Linked DNA regions of Macaca fascicularis. The protein of the gene in region 2 purifies or fractionates together with the protein of the main gene of each other region. This does not show direct contact. Links are inferred from orthologs where the notes say so. Each region holds a gene or a part of one and is shown on either strand. Other genes may lie near its edges.

Evidence for each region.
Region 1: the proteins of NOD2 (region 2) and XIAP purify together in Homo sapiens (affinity purification with western blotting; 3 studies listed by BioGRID and IntAct, with this or other methods). This does not show direct contact. The link is inferred for Macaca fascicularis from reciprocal best matches to the Homo sapiens genes NOD2 and XIAP.
Region 3: the proteins of NOD2 (region 2) and RIPK2 purify together in Homo sapiens (affinity purification with western blotting; 12 studies listed by BioGRID and IntAct, with this or other methods). This does not show direct contact. The link is inferred for Macaca fascicularis from reciprocal best matches to the Homo sapiens genes NOD2 and RIPK2.

What each region holds. Positions count from the first base shown.
Region 1 is NC_088395.1:130,137,487-130,140,986, reverse strand, and holds the end of XIAP (E3 ubiquitin-protein ligase XIAP), read right to left. Parts: intron 1,932-3,500; coding exon 1,738-1,931; 3' UTR 206-1,737; downstream 1-205.
Region 2 is NC_088394.1:46,670,039-46,673,538, reverse strand, and holds part of NOD2 (nucleotide-binding oligomerization domain-containing protein 2), read right to left. Parts: intron 3,305-3,500; coding exon 1,489-3,304; intron 1-1,488. UniProt on the Homo sapiens protein: Pattern recognition receptor (PRR) that detects bacterial peptidoglycan fragments and other danger signals and plays an important role in gastrointestinal immunity.
Region 3 is NC_088382.1:99,465,362-99,468,861, reverse strand, and holds part of RIPK2 (receptor-interacting serine/threonine-protein kinase 2), read right to left. Parts: intron 3,397-3,500; exon of another isoform or gene 3,246-3,396; intron 1,952-3,245; coding exon 1,796-1,951; intron 1-1,795.

The DNA of each region.
Region 1 (3,500 bases), on a different chromosome or scaffold from region 2:
GTACAACAAAAATATAATTTTTTACAGTTTTACTCTCAAACTTTTCTCTATGTAGTAACATGCCTTACTCACCTCTACAATAGGTTTGTTGTGAGAATCTTATAATGTAAACCCTGGACGTCCTATGAAGCATTTTTAAACTTCTAGTTTATGTCCTATTGATTCTTATGCAAGTGTTTTTCAAAAAATATTTAAACAACTATTCTTTTCTTGCCAATATTTTTATAATTTCCAAGAGGTTGTAAGGATGTTGAGAGAACATTGATTTCAGAAGTATCTACTACTATTACTAGTCAAGAACACAAATGTAGGCAGAGGATTTAACATTTCATCCTATATACATCTTAATCATCCTAACGGTAAAAACTCACATGAAACTTTAAGATACAAGATGATATGAGAATCTCAACATGGAAAGCTGTCACTATAACTACAAGCAGTGTACAAACATACTTCTACTTTTACCTACATAAGCTGACAGATGTTTAAAATACTGAGTTAACAAAGATCTTTTAGTAAAGTGACTTAGGCAGGCTTAAACTAGCAAGGATTAAGGATGAATCCTTACTAATTAATTGGAAGATCTGAGACATATTTTATATTTCATTTTACAAAATCAGAAATACTTATTTTGAAACAAGATAAGAAGACATGGTCTACCTGTCAAAAACCTACCACTCAGAAATATTTTTCATCCACAAAGCAGGAAAAACATAAAACCATTTACATTTCACATTGGCACCAAAAAGGTTAACTGCCCTGCCTTCTTGGATTAGAAAAACTAAAGCTGAGTGATAAGTACTTTTGCAGGCGTTTGAACATGCCTAAGCCTTTAAATCAGTAAAATACTTTCTAAAAATTCTGATTACAAAAGTAATACATACTTATAAAAAATTCAAACAGAACAAAATGAAAAAAATAGAAAGTGAAAGGCCCCTATAAAACCCCTCTGAGGCCCCTTCCCCAACCCCCCCAAAGAGAAACCACATTTAACAGTTTGGTGTCTATCTTTCCAAATCTTTTGTTCTATACATATAAGAAACATACATACTTTGATTGCCTCAGACTATACATAGTGTTTTGCCACTTGCATTTTACACTTAATATATCTTTCACATCTTTCCATGTCAGTACATCTTGGCTTGATAGTATTCTATCATTAAATACCCTTTCAAAAATGGCAAATCACTTTTAAAAAATTATTCGCACAAGTACGTGTTTATAATTTTAAAAGAAAATGGACAGAATCCTAACACACAACAACCAACCTCTAAAAATAATCTCTATCTTTCCACCAGCATGGAACAATTATTCCTTTTTCACACAAAACAAATTATGTGATTGGGGAGATTAATCTCCACATTTATATACAGAAAGCTCCATTTGTTAAGCCTATCTGAAAAGAATAAAAAATCCAGATGATTAATTCACTTACACTTAGAAATTAAGTCAGTATATGATGAATACACATTGTGTTCAGTTATAATATGATGCTTCTTAGTCTAGGGTTTCAATTAGATAACAGTAAAAAAAGTTGGATAAATAATACAGCTAATACCCTGAAAAATCCAGAAATTCAAAGATTATATTGCCAACTAAAACACTGCCATGTACATTTTTTTTCTACTTGGTAGCAAATGCTAATGGAATTCAATCCTGATTACTTAAAAGTCAGTTCACATCACATATTCAATCAGGGTAATAAGAAGAACATAACATCCCTACTACAGAGTTAGATTAAGACATAAAAATTTTTTGCTTGAAAGTAATGACTGTGTAGCACATGGGACACTTGTCAACTGCTTCAGCACATTGTTTACAAGTGACTAGATGTCCACAAGGAACAAAAACGATAGCAATATTTCTATCCATACAGATTTTGCAAAGCTTCTCCTCTTGCAGGCGCCTTAGCTGCTCTTCAGTACTAATCTCTGCAAAAAGAGAAAAGAATTATGCTAGTTTTAGACTTTCTTAGTTGTTTACATTCATTGAAAATATTTATTGAACCCCTACTACGTGCCAGGCACCCAACAAGTGCCAGGAGATATGAGGATGACTCACACATGGCATCTGCTCTTAAATAGCTCACAGGCTAGTGGGAGAGGATGTAAGATGAGGCTATGGAGGTTAAGCACAAAGTACAAAGTGATAAGTGCTGTAATAAAGTTATGTACAAAGTGCTCTGGAACAAGATGAGAAAACAAGTTCTTCTGCTCAGGCTAGTTGGAGAAGGCTCCACAGGTTGGCAGTGGCTGGATCGGGGGAGGAGGGAAGCGGAGGAGTGACATTTAAGCATGGGCAGTAATTTGCCAGGCAGAAAAACAAGGGTTAGGTAAAAGGAGCAGCATATGGAAAGGTCACAACTAATTCCAGAAATAGAGGGATGGATTTGAGGGACACCTCTGAAGTGGGACAAGTAGGACTGGGTGACTGACTGGATATGAGGGCTGAAGAAGAAAGACAAACTAAAGTTGATTTCAAGATTGCTAGCTTGGCTGACAAGGATATGGTGATGCCAATAAGAAATATAAAAGGAGGTACAGGTTTGGGATCTTCAGATATTTTTTAGGTGTTTTCAGGACACTCATATAAAAATACCCAGTAGGTAACTGAAGAGTCAAATCTTGAGGTCAGGAGAAGTCAGGGCTAGAGATAGAGATCTGGATGTCATCAGCATATAGGTGGCACTGAAGTACTTGCTTAATTCAGCCTTTCCCAAAATAGTTTTGTGAAATGTGAATACATACGCCACAAAAAAAATGTGTTTCATGGTCACATATAACAATAATGACAACAGCAGCAGCAGTTAACAGTAATATTGCATAAATAGTATGTGCTAGGCACTATTCCAAATGCATTACATATTTTAACTATATCTTTATAACCACAACTATTTGTTTATTTTAGCATCTTTATAATCATTATGTACCAGCAGTTTCCAAATACGGCCTCACATGAGAATAACCTGGGGCATTTTCAAACAACAGATTTCTGGGCTCCATTCACAGAACCTAAAATTTCTGGGGTTGGGCACACCGGCATTTGAGAACCACTGTCATCCATGACAGGGCAGTACAGTACAATATAGGACAGTATAGTCTATATTCCCTCTTAGAAATGTACAACACATTCCCCTGTTTAACTATGGGGTTCCTTTTTCATGGCATCCTTTTAATATCCTGTTGAACACTATACTGAAAACATGTTTGGAAAACAATAGTTTATTCAAGAAATACTTACTGGACACTTAACTAGGTTCTACTAGGGATACAATTAACAAATACATAAACCTCAAGCCCCCAATCGTTCATAGACAAGTAAACAGGGAAGTATAAATGGTATGATGACAAAGGTAATTACAATGTGTTATGAAGAGCACAGGAAGGGTGTGTGTGCATGTGTGCCCATGCATGCATAAACGAAGGCCTCCTGGAGGAAATTATATCTAAAACTGGATACTAAAGAATGAATTAGGAGTTTACTAGGAGAGGGAGGCCTTG
Region 2 (3,500 bases):
AGGGTGGGGAGTTAGGGCCAAGCGGTATTCTTCCAGGTTGCAGAAGCTCAGGCAGCCCTCTCCATACCTTCCCCCCAGCTAATTAGTCTCCCTCCCCTTCCCCCTTCAAGTCTACCCTCCCCCAGCGGTTACTAACCCCAGGCCCCTGCAGCAACCCTCTCGCTCTTCCTAACTCCTGCCCATGGCTTATAAACAATCTCTTTATTAAACTCTCCTCAAATCATCCATTTTAAGTGTATCATCTGTTTCCTCCAAGACCATGATGGGTATAATCATATTTATATTCATTGTGTATAACACATATATATATATTCACTATATATGTTATGTATTATGTTGTTATTATGCTTTAACCTTATGACCATGGTCCTTATGTCAGGGTTAACAAAAGTCACTGCACGGTTTCTAGTGGATATCCATGTGTTCGGCCCATAGTGAAAAATAAATCTTGTTGCTTTGCCCCAGAGAAGATGTATACCATCCTAATACTCTCAAGAAGAGGTTTGTCCCATGCTTAGGGTCAATTAAGGTCATCCAGGTGTAGCCTAAAGCCCCTGGAGGCTGGGAATCGATTTTAACTTCAATCTAGAACTTCTGCTTTCCCATGGGTTCTAAATAGAAGCAGGGCGTCCCCTTTCAAGCTGGAAGGATGTTGGGGAATCTGTGGCATGCTGATCCCCAGGCCTAGGCACACCCTCTGCCCTTGCCTGCCCCCAAGATGTGGAAAGAGGCCACTGAGTTCAGGGGCACCGATTCTCCAAAGGGCAAAACCTCATATCTTTGGCTGGGGCTCTTAAGCAATACAGGTAGTGCTGAAATCCTGTTTGGATACTGTGCTACCTCAGGAATCCAAGAGTGGCTCCTCTTCCATTGTTGAAAGTGGCCAGGCAAATGGAAGATAGCCACTGTTGAAATCCTGCAGCCACTTTCTATTTCTTGGGCCCTGACATTCCCATCTGATTGGGATGTTAAAGTCTCTGATGGGGCACTAGTCACCTCTGATTTGGTGACACATAGTACACAAAACTTTCTGCATGTGACCTCAAGGTTTTCAGGGAGCCTCTGAAGTGTATCCAGAGACTGGTGGGGGGCAGGAAACCTGTTATCAGAAAGATGTGATTTGTGAACCTCAACTCTGCCATTTCCTGTGTGACCCTGGACAATTTACTTCACTCCTCTGAGCCTCAAGTCAAGGATACTGGAGATAATAACATTCCTGCCTACAGCCCTGGGTAGTTGTAGAGATTAGATGAGGTCATTCCGGAAAGAGTAGCACCAGACCCAGCACATAGGCCAGTCAATAAAGTATGGCTGTCATCACCACATATTGAAATTAAGACCCAGAAGGGAAGGGATCTGGACAGGGGTGCAAAGAAGGGTGGCAAAGGTGAAGCTGGGCCCAGATTTCTAGATCCCAGCTCGGTGCTCCCACGCTTAGCCTTGATGATGCTTCCCCATGCCTGAATAGCAATGCCCAGTAACACTCACTACAGAGCCTTGCAGACACCAAGGCAAGGCAGCAGCTGCTCCACGCCAATGTCACCCACAGAGTTGTAGTCCAGCTGCAGGGCCACGGGCTGCCTGAGGTGCCGCAGCACAAAGGCCAGGGCAGCACACTCCGCGGGGCCCACACTGCAAAATGTCAACTTGAGGTGCCCGACATTCAGGCCACGTGCAGCCTTCCGTGCTAGCCGCTCCTCCTGCATCTCGTATAGGCTCCGGATAAGCCAGATGAACCCGGGCATGGCGTGCATGCTCTTGGCCTCACCCGGCGCAGCTGGCGGGATGGAGTGGAAGTGCTTGCGGAGGCTGCGGGCCAGACACCAGCGGGCACAGGCCTGGCGCCGGAGCAGGGCCTTCTCAGATGCCTGGCACTCGGCCAGCAGGTCCCAGTGCTCCCGGGACAACAGCCCCGCCAGGAAGGCTGCCGTGATCTGAAGGTTGTGCGGCTCGGCCTTCTGCAGCAAAGCTGCCACGCTGCCGTCCTTTCCCTCTGAGCCCTGGATGCACAGCGTGGGCAGGAGCCTGGCCATCGGTGAGTTGCCGGGCCTGCCACAATTGAAGAGGTGTCTGAGCAAAGCTGGTGACACATCAGCACTGAATGCCAGGTAGAATGCAGCAAAGAAGCACTGGAAAGTGATGTGCAGGAATTCCAGGGGCGCCGTACTCCCTGGCATGACACCTTTGGCACGCACCAGGAAGCCAAGAGAAATGTCATCAGGGCTGACCTGTGCTGCCTGGAGCTGCTGGGCTGAGAACACGTAGCAGCACATGCCCAGGCCCCACAGGGCTAGTCTGCCCAGGTGCAGAAGGGTGGGGAGACGGCCCCGAAGAAGACTGGGTCCCAGACCCTGGGAGGCTGAGTCTGGGGAGGTGGCATGCAGCAGAAAATGCTGCAGGATCAGCAGGTACATATCTGTAGTGGTCTTTGGGGACACCCCCTCCTGCAGCAACAGTTCCTGGTGGCATTTGGACACCATCCACGAGAAGACAGGAAGGTGGCACAAACCGTGCAGGGCTGAGGTCCCTTGGAGCAGGCGGATGAGGCGGTCTGCCACCCCAGGCTCACGATGGCGCTTCCTCAAGTACAGCTCGATGCCCTGTTCAGAGAAGCCCTTGAGGTTGAACTCGGTGCGGATGTACTTCCTGAGGAATGCTGACACAGCGGCTGGACGGCTGGTCATCACCTTTCGGGCATTCTTCAGCAGGTTGCCCTGCAGAAGGTTGAAGAGCAGGGTCTGGACAGAGGTGGGGTCGGTCGGGGAGCAGTGACGCTCATGATCCGTGAACCTGAACTTGAACTCATCAAAGCCATCAAAGGTTAACAGGACACGGTCAGGGTGGTCAAGGAGGAACTGGAAGATGTCCTCTTGATCAACATCAGGCCAACAGCAGTGCTCAAAGAGTAGTGTCCGCACGGAGAGTGGTTTGGCCACGCACTGCAGCTGCCGGCAGCTGAATGGGAAGACAAAGAGAAATTCCTGGAAGTCTCGCCCTGCAGCCCACAGCAAGTGGAGCCGCTGCAGGAGCGTGCTCTTGCCGCTGCCCGCCTCACCGACCACCAACACGGTGTCTGCATCGTCGTTGAGGTGGCTGCGGGTGCTGAAGAGCTCCTCCAGGCCCAGGGTGGCCGGGCTCTTCTGCGGGGGTCCAGCCATGCCCACGTCTGCCCAGACCTCCAGGCCATTCTCTGTGTATATGTCCTCCAGGCAGAGCGTCTCTGCCCCATCATAGGTGCTGAGGAAGCGAGCCTGAGCAGACACCGTGGTCCTCAGCTTGGCCATGTACTTCCTGCATGTGGCAGCTGGAAGGCAGAAGAAGAGGCAGATGAAGGTGGCACCATGGTGAAGAGGGGACCTAATCAGACAGTGGGCTGCTGTGGGGGAAGCTGACATAACTGAAGGGATAGGACAGCCAGCAAGCGCCCATCCTGGCTCCTCCATTCACAAGCTGTGGACTTTGAGGACAATCAAGGAAACTTCCTAACGGTCAGTTTCCAC
Region 3 (3,500 bases), on a different chromosome or scaffold from region 2:
ATAGAAGATAACAAAAAAGAAAATCTTCAGTAAGTAGAACTTGGTGAAAAGTGCTTGGAGATGACAGCAAAAGCATGATCCATAAAAGAAAAAAAAATGAACTTCATCAAAATTAAAATTTTTGCTTTGTGAAAGTCCCTGTTAAAACGATGAAAAGATAAACTATAACTGGGAGAAAATATTTGCAAACTACATATCTGATGAACTACCACTGTAACATTATACAGAACTCTCAAAACTCAACAGTAAGAAAACCAAGGACTCCCTTTAGAAAATGAGTTTAAGACATCAAGAGACATTTCACTGAAAGCCACATATGGGTGGCAAATTAGCATATAAAAAGGTGTTCAATATCATTAGCAGTTAGGAAAATGCAAATTAATACAAGATGAGATATCACTATGCATCTATTAGAACAGCTAAATAGAAAACAATGATAATAACAAATGCTGGTAGGGATGCGGAATAGCTGGATCTCTCACACATTGCTGGTGGAATGTAAAATGGTACAGCCACTCTGGAAAATAGTTGGATACTTTCTTTAAAAACTAAACACACCGACTGGGCTCAGTGGCTCAAGGCTGCAATCCCAGCACTTTGGGAGGCCAAGACGGGTGGATCACGAGGTCAGGAGATTGAGACGATCTGGGCTAACACTGTGAAACCCTGTCTCTACTAAAAAAATACAAAAAACTAGCCAGGCGTGGTGGTGGGCGCCTGTAGTCCCAGCTACTCGAGAGGCTGAGGCAGGAGAATGGCATAAACCTGGAAGGCGGAGCTGGCAGTGAACTGAGATCCGGCCACTGCACTCCAGCCTGGGCGACAGAGCGAGACTCTGTATCAAAAAAAACAAAAAAACAAAAAAAACTAAACACACCCTTACCATATGACCCAGCATTTGTATTCTTGGGGCATTTATCACAGAGTAATGAAGACTTATGTTCACTCATAAACCTGTATAGCTTTGTTCACAGGAGCTCTGTAAATAATTACCCCAAACTGGAAAGAACCAAAATATTCCTGAATGGTTAACTGTGGTACATTTATACTGTGGAATACTATTTATCAATAAAAAACAACTATTGTTACAAGCACAACTTAGATGGATCTCAAGAGCATTATGTGATGTGAACAGATCCAATCTCAAAATATCACATACTATATGATTCCACTTATATAGCATTTTCAAAATGACAAAATTAAAGAGATGGAAAGCAGATTAGTGGTTGTTAGAGGTACAGATTGTGGTAGAGAGGAAGTGGGTGAGGTAGCATGAGTGGTATCTTTGTGGTGATGTTATGAGAAGTGCTGTACCTTGATTGTTGTGGTTACACAAATTTATACACGTGATAAAGTAATGGTACTATGTACATGCATTGTACTAATGTCAAATTCCTGGTCTTAAAATTATACTATAATTATGTTTGACATAACAATGTGGGAAACCAGGTGACGGATACATGAAACCTCTTTATTACCTTTGCATCTTCCTATAAACATATAATAATTTTAAAATAAAAAATAAAACAAAAAAGGTGATCTTGACAATTCAATGAAGAAACATAATGGCTTTGTATTTTATATCGTAATTCTATCTCTGTCTAGGAATAGCTTCCTAACTGCAGTAGTAAGAAGGAGAATAGAAGATAGAAATTAAGGGCTACGGAAATTACTATTCATTGGTCCCTAACTCTAAGGAGAGATATGAAACAGTCTAGGTCGAAGAAATAACTAAAAAGTATTTTTAAAACTATAAGGACAAGGAAACAGATAAACTTTTTAAAAAAGTAATTACCTTAACATGAAATTCATTGTCCAATAGGATATTCTGAGTCTTCAAGTCATGATGAAGTAAAGGAGGAGTCATATTGTGCAGGTAATTTACACCAAGGGCAATTTCATGCAGAATGCGAAATCTCAATGGCCAAGCAACATCAGGATATTCAGTTTTCTTCATATATATGTGAAAAGAAACAAAATAAAATTAGTCCAAATTTCACTACGTTTCACACTTAGAAGTTAAATATTCCATGAGGAAATACAGTATAAACTAAGGTTAAAACATATGCACATTTTTATAAAATAGCGTCAATTTGATAGGGTTTAACATTTACGTGTCTTACTTTCCTCACTTTCTAGAGAAAGTTATGATAACTTTATAGCACGAATACTTCCTTTTAGTTTATGTTGGTCATGCAACTACATGGTTTTGGGTCTTTCTTCAACTGACACAGATCTCAGTTATTTTGTGTCTATACATAGCCAAAGTCATATACTTACACCCACATCCACCTCTCCATTCTATGTCTTAATCAAGTAATTTGAACGCACACAAATACACACAAAATTACACACAATTTATTTCTAGTAAATACCAAGCCATTCATTCAAAATTTTTATTTTAATTTTATTAATATAAAATCAGACTTTATTATAATCACTGCATCAGTTATAAATTATGACCATATTTATTGACTAAGCACTAATTTATCATACATTTAATCATATAATTAATTTATCTGCATTCCAGCTTATAAAATTAGCCTTTTGATTTGTTTTTGTGGAAGGGGACAATCATTTTTGTTTCTAAAACTATACAGTATAGACACATTTAAAACATAACGTTTTATTTTTCATAGTACTCAACATCCATCTGAGCTTTCTTAAAATAAATGTTTTCTGAACACAAAAGTTAATGTAGCTTCCCAGGAGAATGAACATACTTCGGAAGACCAGGCAATTTGGGAAGATCAACAATGAATCACCAGGCACCATGCCACATTTTTCTAAATGCTATGAAAAAGACTGCTTCTACTGAAAGTACAAAACTGATCTTGAGAAGTTTTTCTGCAAATGCGTCAGCTTATAGTTCAGTGATCAATCTGGCAGGGGGAGTGGTTCAAAATATTTTAGATTGTTTATGATACATCTTGAGTTTTTTCAATGAATTTTGTAAGGTTGGGGGAGGGCACGTCAAGATAAATCCCACCCTAAATAATGCAATACAGGAAACCAAATGAAACACAAAAGACTAATGTGGAACATTACTTTCTCTGGTACACACAGAGTCCTGTCCCCTAGAGAAACTGAATCTTTTAATCTATAAAAAAGGTAACTTTTTCTGAAAATTACGCAGTTTAAAGCAGTTACCAGGCCTCTCTGCAGCATAATGTAATATGGAGGCTTGTGATCATGGAGACAAGGGAGAGAAGTGCTCACTCTATATTTTATGATTTTTTTTCCAGGAGTTAGCAGTCCCCTGGAGGAGGCTGTAGAATGTCCAGTGAGCTGCAAATTTGAGTGCCAGAGTATCTGCTGGGGTGTGGGAAGAAAATGTTAGATTTCTACTTATATTCATTTCTCAACAAAAATAAACGAGAAATTATGATTTATTAATATTTGTATCTTGGTTGCTGTGGTAGTTATACAAATCTTACAGACTGACACCAGTTACTTATTCCATCCTTGTTTCAAATGATCACAAGTCACGAATAGAATGT